Linked DNA regions of Drosophila melanogaster. The protein of the gene in region 2 purifies or fractionates together with the protein of the main gene of each other region. This does not show direct contact. Each region holds a gene or a part of one and is shown on either strand. Other genes may lie near its edges.

Region 1 (4,770 bases), on a different chromosome or scaffold from region 2:
AATTTCTGGTATTTCTCCTGCACGTGCTCGTGCTTTTCATGTAGGGTTGTGATGCCCGCTTGTTGAGCTTGCCACTGTTGGTCCAGAGCGTCGTACCTTTCCTGAAGTTGTCCAAAGGCATTCTGGGATGTGGATAGCTCTTTCGAAAGTCGCTCGCAATCAGTCGCCTTTTGGATAATCTCCGAGCTTGCCAGGTTAAAGGCAGATTCAACGCTCTCTAACTTGTCGCGAACAGAGACGATTTCCAACCGGAGCTGATCACACTCGCATGAATTTTTCTTGGACTCTAAATCTGCAATCAGCTTCTCCAGTTCCTCACACTTGTTGCATATACTGTCGCCGGCGATGTCTTCCTGCTCTGGGGCAATGGAAAGCATGTGGCCCTCCTTGCTGTTCCGTAAGACATCGCGGGTTAAATTGTCGAGGGACTTTTGAAGACTCTCTATAGTCGACTCCTTTTCTAAAAGGGCAGAGAGTAAGTCATCCACGCGAAGTTTCGATGATTTCTTGTGAGCCTCAAACTCAAACTCGAGGCCCACGGCCACCTGATTTTCCACTTCCATTATTCTCATAGTCTGCTTTAGAGTACTCAGTTTCTCTTCCAATTCGCTGATTTTTGAATTCGCAGCCTCATTATCCGCTCTTAGGCTGGTTACTTCCTTTTCCAGAGCATCATAACTATAAGAAGATACACAAGTAGTAAACTATTGTTAAACACTAAAACTATAATAAAATAAATCAAACAAACAGGTATTGTGGAGTGGTGTTCTATAAACAAAATTTACTGTTAAAAACTGAAACATATACTTAAGTGTTTTGTTTTTATAGAATGGAATAGAATATCGCTGCACTAGTTTTACAGATTTGTATGAATAGGTATGTTAGATTTTGGGTTGACTGCTTAAAGCACAAAAGTCGAGTTACGTTTACATCGTTTTTTACGATGCAGGCACTATGTTTTGGACGACAGATTCCTTGACAGAAAACACCTCATTAACTCACCGCTCCTTTTCGGCTAACGATTCTTGCTCTAAATTATCCCGCTGTGCTGTAACCTCGGCCAGCTTTTCTTTTAAACCCTGCACCTCTTCGCACTCCACCTCAAAATGCTTCTCTAAGCTGGTGAACATTTGCAGGTCCTGGATTTCCTTCTTGATTTTATCCGTTCTGTGCAGGCAAATAAGTGCAGGGATCGGGTCGGGGTATGTGGATGCGATTGTTATGTGATGAATGTTATGGAGGATGATCAAAAAGCTTGCAGAAGTACTTACGTTAAGGGACCCTTGGGAGTGAGGGGCAGGTCTGGCAGTTGCCTGATGGTCAACATGGGTTTGAGGACATCTGGGCGAGGGGAGCCAAAATCAATGCATTCTGCCGGGAGAAATTCCTCACTAATGGAGTTGCTCTCGGTACCGATATCCAGGGAACCCAAAATGTTTATGGTCTTTGGAATGTTGTCCCATCGTTTGCCTGCATTTGAAGTGTGAAAAAACACTGGTTTTGGAAGGTGTGAGACCTTTGGAAATTGGTCAATTCGATCTTCAGTTGTGCCGGTCTCTGCTAGCTCCAAATGCGATCCCGATGCAGTGGGACACCAAGTACGGCGACGCTTCTGCTGACCCTTGTCGCTCAGGGAGTGACCACAGATTATCTTGTGCATGTCGTGTTTTATTTGTCTCTCCAGATGCTCTACCTTTTGCTGGTTCTCGTTTTTGCGCTCTTCTTCGGCCAGCTTATCCTTAAGCACCTTTATTTCTCGCTCCAGCCGCTTCATCATTGTGGCGTCAGATACCATCTCGTTGACTTGGGGCTTAATGCGAATTTTCTTGGCTCGCGTGGCGAAACTAAGGGTAGACTGCGACTCTTCCATGATCGATGGTTTGATTGTGCAAATGATGGATGTGAATGCATTGCCGCCCAAAGAAGCCTGCAGAATGCGCGTCAGCTTGGAATCGCGGTAGTTGGTAAATCTATTGTCCGCGTTTTCCGACAGACTTTTGATAACGTTACTGAGAAAAAGTAAGCTCTTGTTTATATGACCGCCCTCTTTGAGGCGCGCTCCTCGAGCACCCGTTTGGTCCGCCCGCTCTGACCCAGCCAGATCCACCAGGTTCAACACGCTTTGAATCACTGCGTCGTCATCGCTGTGGTCCGACTTTCGGGACTCGATGATCTGTGGGATACATGTTGCAGATTATCGGAAAGAAAATAGCAGGCTGCACTTACTATCTTAAATATGGCATGCGAACGGCTGGACCGCTCGTTCATGTTCGTCTCGCCCACGGTGCGCTCCTTATTGCCCAAGCATAGCAGGCGCAGGAGGTCAACCTCGCTGGTTATGATGCACTCCTCGCAGTTCACATTCACAATCCCATTTCCGGACTCATGGATCTTGAGGTCCTGATTCTTCTTGTTCAGCAGATCGTAGATCTTCTCGTTGTAGATCTCGATGTAGCCCACGCGCAGCAGAAAGTCCCGCTCCGTCTCACTGGAGATCTGTTGAAAGATCTCCTTGGCGGCTAGCACCATGACGCCCGGATTCTGTTCGTCGCCCATCATGGTGTACGTCTTGCCTGAAATGCATGCCCGGTTTTAGGTATACCGCCGCGTATATATAGCACAGTACCCACCCGACGACGTCTGGCCGTAGGCAAAAATAGTTCCGTTGAAGCCCTGCATGCAGGCGTGCACTATGTGCTTGGCCATCCGGTCGAACACCTCCTGGTTGCTGGCGCCCTCGTCGAACACATAGTCTGCCAAACGGAATGGAATGTAAATGAGATAAAGGTCTTGTGGATCAGGATACGCTCAACGCTCTAACCACTCACCGAAGACATAGGGCTCCGCATGGCTGTCCGCCAAGTGGATGGAGCGGCGCTCCTTCACCTGCCAGAGTGAAGTGAGCCCGGGCTCGCAGGGACGCACCTTGATGCAGACCTGGATGGAGCTGGCGTTCTTCGCAGACATCTTGGCGCCTTCTTGGTCTCAATGCTTTATGATAAACAGAACGCAGTTCATAAACAAACATAAAATTCAATGTTTTACAGTAAACAAACATTGATCGACATCTTTGTTGCTCGTTAAATTCGAACAAATGCCGCTTTGCAAAATCAGGGATGTATATGCTTCGATATCTTCGAGTGGCGCTAACGACTCGATAGATAAATCGGTTCATCGATTGTTATCATAGTTCCAAATAGGGCTGCAAAAATAAAAACAGAAACACATTATGTTCTTATCCCACAGGGCTGCATTAACATTCCTGATCAAGGGTCGCTACGGCATATATATATTCTAAGACGTTGTGTTCTTATTGGTAGGGCATGCTAACTAACAAAGTTCTATGACTCAATACTTTAAGGTCAAACAGAAAATAGAACAAGCTCTTAAATACATGCGAAAACTACGGTTTAAATTTCATATAAGTTCGTATTTTTTCTACTAATTCATAACTTCTATTCATAGCACACATATAATGTGGAAAGTATTTGATTCCAAAACAAATATTTGAAATAAATTATAACTAAGCTCCCTAATATAACCACTATAATATTTTCCAAATTTTCAATTTTCCTATTTTTTTTAATAGTGAACAACTGGGATTATTATTCCAATGAAATCTCATGTTTATATCAGACAGTATTCTTCTGTATGCATTAAACAATCCCCTCAGCTTTTGTCTGTCTGTAAGTAAGCATTTAATTTAGCGGTCTTTACTATTTTGGAAATATAGATAATAATAATCTATATTATATATCACGAAAAAGCTCGGAAAAAGTTTTATGTTCGAAGCCTATTGGATTATATTTTCATATTCGCCGAAAGCTCCTCAAACTTTTAAATTGAACTGGCTCGCGCCTATTTACTGGTTCCGTATTTCGATCTGGTTCGCTTCCGAAGCGGTATTTGTTCGAATTTACAAAGAGAAACTAACATGTCGATCAAACTAGCTTTTATAAAACGTTAAAATCTGTTTGTGTCTGTTCATTGTGCATGTCAAACACGTTTCCCACAAGTCGCAAAGATGTCTACGAAGAACGCCAGCTCCATCCAGGTCTGCATCAAGGTGCGTCCCTGCGAGCCCGGGCTCACTTCACTCTGGCAGGTGAAGGAGGGCCGCTCCATCCAGTTGGCGGACAGCCATGCGGAGCCCTATGTCTTCGGTGAGTGGTTAGAGCGTTGAGCGTATCCTGATCTACAAGACCTTTATCTCATTTACATTCCATTCCGTTTGGCAGACTATGTGTTCGACGAGGGCGCCAGCAACCAGGAGGTGTTCGACCGGATGGCCAAGCACATAGTGCACGCCTGCATGCAGGGCTCCAACGGAACTATTTTTGCCTACGGCCAGACGTCGTCGGGTGGGTACTGTGCTATATATACGCGGCGGTATACCTAAAACCGGGCATGCATTTCAGGCAAGACGTACACCATGATGGGCGACGAACAGAATCCGGGCGTCATGGTGCTAGCCGCCAAGGAGATCTTTCAACAGATCTCCAGTGAGACGGAGCGGGACTTTCTGCTGCGCGTGGGCTACATCGAGATCTACAACGAGAAGATCTACGATCTGCTGAACAAGAAGAATCAGGACCTCAAGATCCATGAGTCCGGCAATGGGATTGTGAATGTGAACTGCAAGGAGTCCATCGTAACCAGCGAGGACGACCTCCTGCGCCAGCTCTACATGGGCAACAAGGAGCGCGTCGTGGGCGAGACCAACATGAACGAGCGGTCCAGTCGTTCGCACGCCATCTTCAGGATAGTGAG
Region 2 (4,994 bases):
TTAGTCAACTGTCCAAAAAATTTGATTTGATTTCCAGCTCCCAGTGGCTATATTCCCTGGCCAGGACACTCGCGTGGAAATCCTTGCTTGAAATTCCGTTCGCTTTTCAGGGGAAAAACAGGGCTGGAAAAAACACGACCGAACCGCTGCGCGTTCCACGCACGTCTGACAAACTGCAAATCAATCAGCGACGGGCCAAGTACTCTAGTTGGCCAACTGGCGCATCCGGCTAATTGGATTGTAACATATCGGGAATGCTCGATGGCGCCGTCACCATTGGGCACACACTCTTTTCGCCTCATTTGCAGCATTACTTCACTGGAGGAATGGCCAAATGCTGGTCATGCTGACCTTTGTATAGAATATGGCCGGCAAAAACACTGTGATAAAAGTGCGAGCAGGGCGGAAGCGGATTTCGGCCAGGTTTTCAAGATTCCCAATGCAGCTGCAATAGCCTCTGGGTCGGCTTAAAACTTGTACGAGTTCGTTTAACATGATTTCGGTGTGCACTGCTGACTTTTTTGGAGGTTTGCGAAAACGCGTCGAAGAGCGTGTTCAACAAGCTCAAACAATTAAAATTCCGAACAAAAAGGTTCGATAGAAAAAAAGTTTGAAAAGTTATAACCAAAAGGCATTTAATTTAATAATACAACAAGCAGTGTTTGAAAAAATTCAACATTTTAAATGTGTCTCAAAACATTATGCAGCTAAGGGACATTCTTGCTAGATATCCATTAAATAAATTATTACAATGTGAAAAAGGCCATTTTAAACCATTCTTAGCCATGCTTAAATTTAAAGAATGTACAATTTTGTATTACTAAGCAAGCCTTACTTAAGTGAGCGAATCTTGTGATATATCCAGGAATGATATGTGCGCTCCTTGACCATCTCCTTGTCTGCGAAGTCAAATATATTACCATAGCTATAGAAAATAAACAAGTCAAAAAGCAAACTTACCATCACACTGGAAACACTGAGCCAAGTTCGGCGGACAAATGTTTTCCGAATTGAAATAGAAGGTGGTCTTTAGTTCGCGGAACTTGTTGTGCGAACGCATGGTAATGTGCCGGGAGTAGGGATCCTTGCCATCCAAGTGATCCCTCACATAGTGGGCAGACAGGCGAATGTCCATAACATCACTTAGCTGATCATCGATGGATTCTACTAATTTAGGCGGTTTCTTCAGCAATTCAGAACAGACATCGTTGTAAACTGTAGGTCAAAAACGGAGTTATAGCTAAAAATCCCAGGATCTGCTTTTTGTCCTTCTTACCATTTGCCAGATTTAAGTGGATGTGCATCATCAGGAGATGCTCTAAGGTGCAGTGAATCTGAAACAACTTTGAGATTCTCTCCGTACTCTCGTGCTCGTCGAAATGGCTGTTTTTGAACCCAGCATCATCGTCGCTACCGGCATATTTTGTACTCCGCGAATTGACAGCGCCGTGATGATGCAGCAGCGTCTTTCGCATTCCAGCTCCAGGGGTCGGATCACCCCTGACCGCATTGTGCAGGGATTTTCGAAGCTGGGGCAGATTCTGGGGAGAACCATCGTCCATCGACGCTCCGCTGGAGTCATCCTTCAACAGATTGGTGCTGCACATCTTGCTCTCGGTGTAGATAAACTCGTAGTCCTTGTACAACTTCTCCAGGCCAATTTCCAAAAGCAGTTCCAGAGGCTCGGCCCCACTTAAACAAGGCATGGCCAGACGACGGTTGGCCAACTCGGTGATAATCTTGGCAAGTCGATTTTTGTTAGTAGGCGTGTTCTATGGGGTGAGGAACATGAATAATATGTGGTGGTTTGCATGCATTAGCATACTTACTACTATGTTACACCGTGCAGCACATTGGAAGAGCATACTAAAGGCAATTTTGAGATCCTTGTAGGAGTGGCAGCACTTGAGCAGCTCCCAAAGCTTATCGGTTAGATCCGTGAGCTGGCGAACCTTGGCCCTCTGCACCACATCTTCGATGTCAAACTCCGCATTGCTGATGCTATACCGACCTATAAGGCCAGAGACATCTGTCATTGTCTGATTAATGGACTCGCGCAGCTCGTCCATGTCAATGCCACTGCCACAACGATAGGTGGGATCCCGAGAGACGCCCTGCTTGACATCCGTGTGGTAGGAGACGATGTCCTCGCGTATGTAGACCAGAATGCGCAGCTGATTCATAAAGTCCTGCGTCAAAGGACCGCAGTCGCCCACGCGAAAAGTGTGATTCAAAGCCACATCGCAGTCGTTCAGGTTCACCAGGAGCGGAAGTGCAGCACTAGAGGTCCAGGAGCAGCGTAGTCTCATGTGGGGATTGACCTGGTAGCTATTTTCAATGAGAGTTTCATCCGGTGTCTTGCCATGATGGCGCACCAGGGCTTGCGAGGTTACTAAGTAAGCAGGGCGCACACCCTGGTAGCTAAGTATTCCCCTGGAGAAGTGCGTAGGGTTGAACTCGTACTGGAGCAACTGAGTCTGCCCGAGATCACTGCCGTCGCACAAAAACCACACGGATCCGAGTCCCTCGGCCAGCTGCAGGAACTCGGAGCACACGATGGACCTAGCCTTGTCCACGGGTATTCCGCGTTGATATTCCTCCTCCAGCTTCCAGGGATTCGAGTGATCCAGCTGCAGGTCGATGGACAAGTCGGCTATGGCGTCCACCAGGCAGTCGTCCTTCAAAGGACTTCCCGTCAGATCCAAGTCCGCAGAGCCCTCTTTTTTTGGGGCTGCCCTGGTGGGCGTGGTCCGGAGTCTCGCCACTGCTCCATTGCGATCCTCCTTAAAGACCAGCACAATCTTCTTGCCAGCTTCCGCAGCCCCCACCATGCTCACCAAGTAGGTGGGTGGCGCTCCATAGGTGATCGTGTATGACTCGCCACACCGCCGCATTAGCTCCGCGTAAACGTTTGCCAAGTTCGCAGAAGCCGACATTTTTGGAGCAAATTCGCAAAACAGAAACAAAAAGCGGCAGTATTTGAAAAGCGAAGCGAGAATTGGTTAAACGGTCACACAGCACTTCGCTTTTTAGTGCACCTCAATAATTTTAGCAGTAAGCCGCGTGAAGGTCACACTGCAACATCGATAGCCGATAGACTTAGGCCAGCAACAATCGATAATTCTTATCCCCGCACGTGTTGAAATTGTTTTCTTTTATTTGGATCAGATTTAATTTAGTTAATTCAGACATGTCGGACTTTGAAATGGAGGACAGTGCCTCGGGCTACGACTCAGGGGATAACTCAGATGCCGAGGTAAGTGAGGAACCGAAGAAATGAACACCCCGTATACCAAAATCTCCACTCTTTTCCTGCAGCTGCAAGCGGCATTTGAGCGAGGCGACTTGAAACCAGGCCTAAATGTGGAATTCAATGGCCAGAGAGACAAAGTGAACGATGTGGTAAGTAGCTAGCTGGATGCCCGCTTTTGAATCGACTAATCCAATCCTGCCCACATAGACCAAACTGCTGGCCAAGACAGAGGCTATCAAGATGCAACTGCCTTGGCTGGAACGCCTGGACATGATCAACACACTAGCTCCACTGGCGCCGGAACTCGCTGTACAGCTGGAGAAGCACGAGCAGAAGCGGGCCAATCTCTTCAAGGGCAACGCCAAGCTGCCCTACATTCGGCCCGAGGAGGATCCCGTCCTGAATGACTTCAAGAGGGAGATGCTCTTCCACCGACAGGCGCAAAGTGCTGTTCTGGAGGCCATTCCCCGCCTTCACGAGCTGGGCATAAAGACTCGTCGACCCGATGACTACTTCGCTGAAATGGCCAAGTCCGACGAGCACATGCAGAAGGTGCGCGCCAACCTGATGGCCAAACAGCAAGGACAGGCGAAATCCGAGCGCATCAAGCAGATCCGCGAGCAGCGCAAGATGGGCAAGATGCTGGCCAAACAGACCAAGGTCCAACGCGAAGCCGAGAAGAAGGACATGCTGGACAAACTGAAGAAGTTCCGCAAGGGCAAGCTGAAAAACCTGGACTTCCTGGAGGACGCCAAGGCGCTTGAGTCCAAGCAGAAGCAGTCAGCCGAGAATCGCAAGAAGCGCAACAAGAAGTTCGGCTTCGGCGGCAAGAAGAAGGGCCTCAAGAGGAACACAAAGTCCTCCTCCGCGGGATTGGATGGCGACAAGTCCTCCAGGCGCCAGCGGGGCGTAAAGGCAGGTGCTTCGGTCAACAAGCGGCTTGGCAAATCGCGACGCATTAAGGCCAAGGGCAGAAAGTAATCCCCGGGACTGCCGACTATATTTAGGTGACCAAACTCTAGTTTTATAAAGCCCCCAATCCTGTATAGATTTTTTAGACCCATAAATACATAACATTTTGTGTGCACACAGCCTTACTTTCGAAATGTGGAATACTCCGTATAGAATTTTAGAATTCCATGAGCAATTTTCATAAATTACATTTTTCTAACATCGTTTATTCTAAAGTGGACTATAACTATTACACGTTCTCCTTGTTCTTTCGTTTCTTTTTTAGTTTTGTGCTAGTTTCCGATTCCTCCGAAGAGTCCGCCGTTTTTCGCTTCTTTTTTGACTTTACTTGTTCATCAGTTTCAACATCCTGGGGCAGTCCTTCAGTTGCTCCAAGCCCTGCTTGCCTATCCGCTCTCTTGTCCTTCTTCTTTTTTATCTTCACTGGCTCTTCGACTTCCACACCGTCTTCCTCTCCCGGCTCCCGTGTCTTATTTTTTTTCCTCTTGATCTTGACGGGATCTTCTGGAGTTTGATGTGCTGGGGATTCCTTTCCTGCCTTCTCAGCCTTGTCTTTCTTCTTTTTCTTGGATTTTATGGGCTCTTCCAGTTGGGAAACCTCACATGCCTCGGAAAACTCCTCCGCTATGGATTTTTTCTTTTTCTTTGCCTTCGTATCACACTGCTCCACACTGTCATCAACTGACTCCACTGCTCGATGCTCGGTTTCAGGCGTAGTCTTCAGCTTGCGCTGAAGCTTCTCCAGCATCTCGCGCTCCTGCTGCTCCAG
Region 3 (5,175 bases), on a different chromosome or scaffold from region 2:
AGCGGCTCTTCCACTTGTCCTATTACGCCTCGGGATTGCCCTGTTTTGGTGGCGAAAAATCATCCAGTGGGCCGAGGTTTGTGGATCATGTGGACATAGTGCGCTATCCCATTGCTAATGGCGGTTCCAGTTGCCCAGTGGATGTGGAAACCGAATTGCCAGATGGATACGAGACTCCTGTAAGTGGAGGTACCTCGATTTGCAATTGCACTGGTCACAGAGAATCCACCTGCTCGAGGACCCATCATGTCACCTACGAGTCCTTACCAGCTGAGCTGCCCTATCAACTGTACGCAGAGATCAAGGAGCAGGCGGATGAGAATGGGGATGCGGATGAGGTGCTGGCCGTGACTACCGGCCCTACGGCTCCCATCTACGATCATCTGTCGTTTGTGGAGGAGATGCCAAAACTGGATGAACTGAGAGATATATCCTAGGTAGAATCCATCTTTGATATACTTAATTCCTTAATAATTTCTAGGCTTTGTAAATTTCAGTTGTCTTTGAATACGTAAATAGAGAACACGAATCTGGATGGATTATTCTTTTACAGTTTAAGGTCGCACAACAGCAAAGGTACTGCTGGTTACACCTAGGGTAGTTTAAGTAAGCTCAACTGTATTAATAAAGAGTTGATTTGTTTTTATTGCTAAGTTTTTTTTTAGTTCGTAGTGTATTTGTAAAGAATAAAGTCTCTGCACCCTGATTTGCTGTGCCCTGCGTTGTTATTATTTGTTAAGTTTTTATAAGTCTAAATTCGATTTAAAATTTCCATTGGAATTCATGCAATCATTTCATAATTGGTTTACGAGAGCTCACAACAATACGCCGTATGATGTTTGGCTTCTTAATTGTGGGTTTTACGTCCTGGTTGTCTTCACTTTCCTTTGGCTTGTCATTTTCCTTGGTGGTTTCCCCATTTGGACATCTCTCAAGCGGACTCAAATTGTGAACAATGGGATCGTTCGCGCTAAACTTCACAGCCTTTTGCGAATCTTCGGCGAAGACTTGCCGTTTTTTGCTGAGGATAGAGCGGATATTTTCGTTGGTCGAGTCTTTGATGACGGGAATCCTCACAGGAGTTCCTTTGCGCTGCGGTTTTTGTGGCGTTGGACTGTCCAGAATTTCCACACTCAATGTCCCATCTTGCTTGATGGGAGATTCCTTGGCCGCCTCATCGCTGCTGTCTTCAGTTTCCGTTTCCAGCTTTATGAGCTTCACAGGAGTTCCTTTGCGCTGCGGTTTAGCAGGCGTTACTGTACCAGGCAGTCTTGCTCCCAGCAGTTCTTCGTTGGACTTCACCTTTATCCCTCCCAGTCGCTGCTTAACTGGGGTACCCTTCATCAAAGGTTTGGCTGGGGTTTCCACGGAATTTAGACCCGTTTCTTCGTTTTCATCTTCTTGTATATTCATTTGAGGTGTTACTCCATCGTTTTTGGCTTTGACTGGAGTGCCTTTCAGCTGCGGTTTTGGAATTAATTCTGGAGCTTCCAACTCCTTTTTGATATCAACCGCGTCCTGCTGTTCCAAGTTTAAGTCGATTTCTCGTTTTATTTTCATACCCATAATTGTCTTAATAGGTGTTCTTTTTATACAAGCCTTGCTTTCGGATACCTCTAGTTCCTGTTCGACTTTTACGGATGTGTCTTTTAGTGCTGGTTTTAATTCTTGGCTAAGTGGCTCCACTACCTCTTCTTTAATGGCAGGCTTTAAGGGCGCATCAAGAACAATAATTTCCGTTGCAGTTGGAAAAGACTTGCTTGTGGTTTCCGCAGCCGATTTCAAAGATGTTTCTGGATGTGTATGTAGTTGAGCTGATGATGATGGAGATTGTGCCGCTACACTGACAATGCGGGGCAATGCAGTTTTAAGTTCCGCCTCCTTGATGTTAAACTCCATGGCCTGCATGGGCTTGAAAACGATCTTATGCTCCGCCAGCAGATTTTCGCGATCAATGAGCACACAGCGGGATTTTAGGGACTCAAAGCGCCAGCTGAAAATATAAATAATTATAAAATAAATATAGCTTTGAAAAGGAATATAGTGTATATACCGTGCCATTTCCTGCTGAACGCATCGCATCCGTTCCTCCAGTCCGGCCTTCTGGATTCGCATGCTATGCAGCTGCGCCTTCAGCTCGTCCGTTTCGCGTCTAAATTGGGATGATTTTTAGGAATTAGGGGTGTGGAGGCTACCTAACTGGTCAGCAAGAACAGGCCGTAGCTGGTGAGGCTCAGCAACTTATTGCCGAGCGATGCCAGCGCGGTGTCGACCAAGAGGGGCAACTCATACTTGCAGAAATCCAGCATCGAGTCCAGCCAGGTGACCGACTTCTCGCTGGCCAGCTGGCGCAGCCGCTCCTGGGAGAGATTAAGCTGCCGCTCTAGGCTGTCGTTGGCAGTCATCAGTTGCCGGATGCGCTCATTCAGCTTATCTGGGGGAATACTCCTATATTAATCTTCTTTACAGACCAATGAATGTGGATTACTCACTTTGATAGGTCTTGTCCGCACTGCAAAAGATTGTGCTACAGGCCTGCAGCTCCGTGTGCATGGCCACGTTTTCCCGCTTGAGACGTCTGATCTCAAATTGGCTGTCCGTGAAGATCTTCTTCATATCCAGATAGCTTTTTTTCTGGGCCGCCAGGATCTGCTTCATCGCTTGCCTTTGGTCGTCCACCTCAGCGAACAGAGAGTTGCCCTTGCGGTCTATAAAAATAGTGCATAAAGCCCTTTTTAAAACAAATTTTAGGGTGCCATGTTAATCTTAACTACCATTGTTTTCAGGGGCGGAGGTAAGCAGTGCTATCTTGGCATTGGCATCCACCAGTTGCTCCTGGCAACTCTCCAGCAATTGCAGCTTTTCCTCCAGTTCATCCCGCTTGCAGTTCAGATTCTGTTCCATGCAGCTCACCCGATCTTGCAGACATTCGATGGTTTTCTGGGAATTCAGGATAGTATTTAAATGATGTAGTTGTTTAGATACTTATGAGGAATATTTCTACCTCTTTTTCAGCCACCGCCAGAGTGTTTGCGATGCGCAAGTCCTCATACTCGGCCAGCTTTTGCAACAGCTCACAGTTTTCGAGTTCTAGGGCATTCAAACGGGCAAAAAAGTCATCGTGAAGCTGATTTGACCTGGAGGCGGACTTTTCCGCCAGATTCTTTTCAGCGGCAGTCAGCTTATCTTTCAGTGATCTGGTCTCCTCCACCTTGGCGTCGTAGTCTTGCTGTAGGACATCCTGTTCCTCTTTCAGGGTCTTGAACTTTCGACGCAGCTCCTCCAGTTCCTGGCCATTCCCTCCAGACGCGATGGCCACAGGCTGGCTACTCAGATGCTCCAGTTCCTGGGTCAAATACGATTCGGCGGCGAGGGCAGTGTCCAGATTCCTTTTTAGCTCATAAATCCTTTGCGCATCCTTTTCGCTCTGGTCTTTCAGCTGCTGGTGGCGATCGTGCAGCAGCTTGTACTCCTCCACGATGTCATCCACGCTAAGGGTGTCAAGGTCCAAGTTTTTGTACATTTGGTTTGCATAAAAAAGACGCCAATTTTTTATATTTTTCAACCGTCAATCGATATTTGACTCTAAAGTAATCGGTATGGATTGCTCGCATTGTTGATCGATTACAAATAACAGGGAGACTTGTGCTGGTAAGCGCAGACTAACAGTGTTGTTACATTAACGGTTAGCGCCATCTTCCGGAAGAGAAATGCATTTTTAAAAATTTTGACTAAAATTTCACTCAGTTTTAAGTTTTAAGCTAAACAATCTTTCTTTTATTCTAAGTAGAATATTACTTTTGCCTTTGCAACTTTTTACAGCAAACTTCTATACGGCAAGCTATGTTAACCGCATGCTAACATTCAACTCGTTGCCGCCCTCTTCCGGTAATTCAAAGCATTTTTAAATATTAGGCAATATTAAAATTTTTCTTTATTCTAGTAATTAAATGAATGAAAAATGAGCTGATACTAAAAAAAATAGTATAATAAAATAGAAATAAAAGGGTATAAGCTAGGACGCATGCGCTCGGTGTGTTTACACACATATCGTTACCTTGGCGACAATTTTGTTTCCAAACAGCTGGCTCACACTTAACACTAGTTTATTTAGGAACACAACAAATAAAAATTGTAAAATGCAGCAAGATGATGAACAGGAAAAATCCCAGCAGCTACAAAACTTTCAATCCGATGACTTACTGGAAAAATTGAAGTTACTCAACTACGAAAAACATTTGCTCAAGGAATTCAAACTAAAACCGCTGTCGCGTTTCTATTTCGTAAAGGCCACAAATCCCGGAGAGCAATTCTATATGTTTACTTTAATATGCTGGTGGCTATGCAAGAAACTCGGAAAGGATATGGAGCGGCCACAGGAGTACGATGATCCAAACACTGTGGCCGCCAATATCATTAAATTGCTTGGGGAGATTGTGAGTACTAGGACTAAGTTGTATTACTACAATACTACAATATTTTCATTGTAGGATGTCCCAGTGGATTTCCAGCCCAATAAGCTGATTCGTGGAGCTGGACCCATCTGCCTGTCGGTCCTGGAAGTTCTCTCCACACAAGCCTGCAAAGTGGCCCAAGTGGGCTACCAAAAGCTGCACATCGCCCAGGAGGAGGAGTTCCTGGGCGATTATCTGGAGGACAATGCAGAGATCATATTGGAGAAACTGGAGGATGAGCAGAATGCAGCCGCCTTAAGTGATGATAGTGACATGGAGTTGGAGGCGCACAATTTCCGGCAGCTGAACTGGTTGAATCGTCCGCAAAAGAAATCCAATGGAGATGTCAACCTGGATGAACGAAATCCTGAATTAGATGCTCGCATGAGCGATCATCAGGAGTGGCATCTGGAACTGGAAAGAGTCCTGCCCCAACTGAAAGTGTTCGTCAAAGCAGACGCCCGGGACTGGAGGACCCACATCAGCCAGATGGAGACCTTAAAAACAAACATATTGGAAAACTCCGATACCGCCGAGGCTCAACTAAAAAAACTGCACAGCGAGTTCACTTTCGACTTGGAAAAGATCGAAAGCCGCGAAAAACATTTGAACAATGAGCTCAAGCCACTGATTCAGCAGTTCAAGGAGCTATCCATTGAACTGTCCACCATCCAATATGCCCAGAATCAGTTGCAGGAGGACATGGAGAAGCAGACCGCAG

What was found.
Region 1: the proteins of Zwilch (region 2) and cmet purify together in Drosophila melanogaster (affinity purification with mass spectrometry, with the first as the bait; one study listed by BioGRID). This does not show direct contact.
Region 3: the proteins of Zwilch (region 2) and Spindly purify together in Drosophila melanogaster (affinity purification with western blotting; one study listed by BioGRID). This does not show direct contact.

The regions. Positions count from the first base shown.
Region 1 is NT_033779.5:11,265,880-11,270,649, forward strand, and holds the start of cmet (CENP-meta), read right to left. Parts: upstream 3,124-4,770; 5' UTR 2,968-3,123; coding exon 2,829-2,967; intron 2,754-2,828; coding exon 2,631-2,753; intron 2,574-2,630; coding exon 2,227-2,573; intron 2,174-2,226; coding exon 1,272-2,173; intron 1,168-1,271; coding exon 1,003-1,167; intron 679-1,002; coding exon 1-678. Other genes in the region: cana (CENP-ana), read left to right, coding at 4,025-4,163, 4,239-4,361, 4,419-4,765.
Region 2 is NT_033777.3:31,210,354-31,215,347, forward strand, and holds Zwilch (zwilch), read right to left. Parts: upstream 3,024-4,994; 5' UTR 2,937-3,023; coding exon 1,830-2,936; intron 1,773-1,829; coding exon 1,277-1,772; intron 1,216-1,276; coding exon 961-1,215; intron 900-960; coding exon 832-899; 3' UTR 613-831; downstream 1-612. Other genes in the region: CG1542 (uncharacterized protein), read left to right, coding at 3,191-3,256, 3,319-3,402, 3,461-4,234; CG15561 (uncharacterized protein), read right to left, coding at 4,455-4,994. UniProt on the Drosophila melanogaster protein: Essential component of the mitotic checkpoint, which prevents cells from prematurely exiting mitosis. Required for the assembly of the dynein-dynactin, Mad2 complexes and spindly/CG15415 onto kinetochores.
Region 3 is NT_033779.5:3,526,764-3,531,938, forward strand, and holds Spindly (spindly), read right to left. Parts: upstream 3,555-5,175; 5' UTR 3,524-3,554; coding exon 3,005-3,523; intron 2,941-3,004; coding exon 2,775-2,940; intron 2,709-2,774; coding exon 2,493-2,708; intron 2,435-2,492; coding exon 2,293-2,434; intron 2,153-2,292; coding exon 2,054-2,152; intron 1,994-2,053; coding exon 790-1,993; 3' UTR 624-789; downstream 1-623. Other genes in the region: CG8852 (uncharacterized protein), read left to right, coding at 1-437; IFT57 (intraflagellar transport 57), read left to right, coding at 4,140-4,436, 4,491-5,175.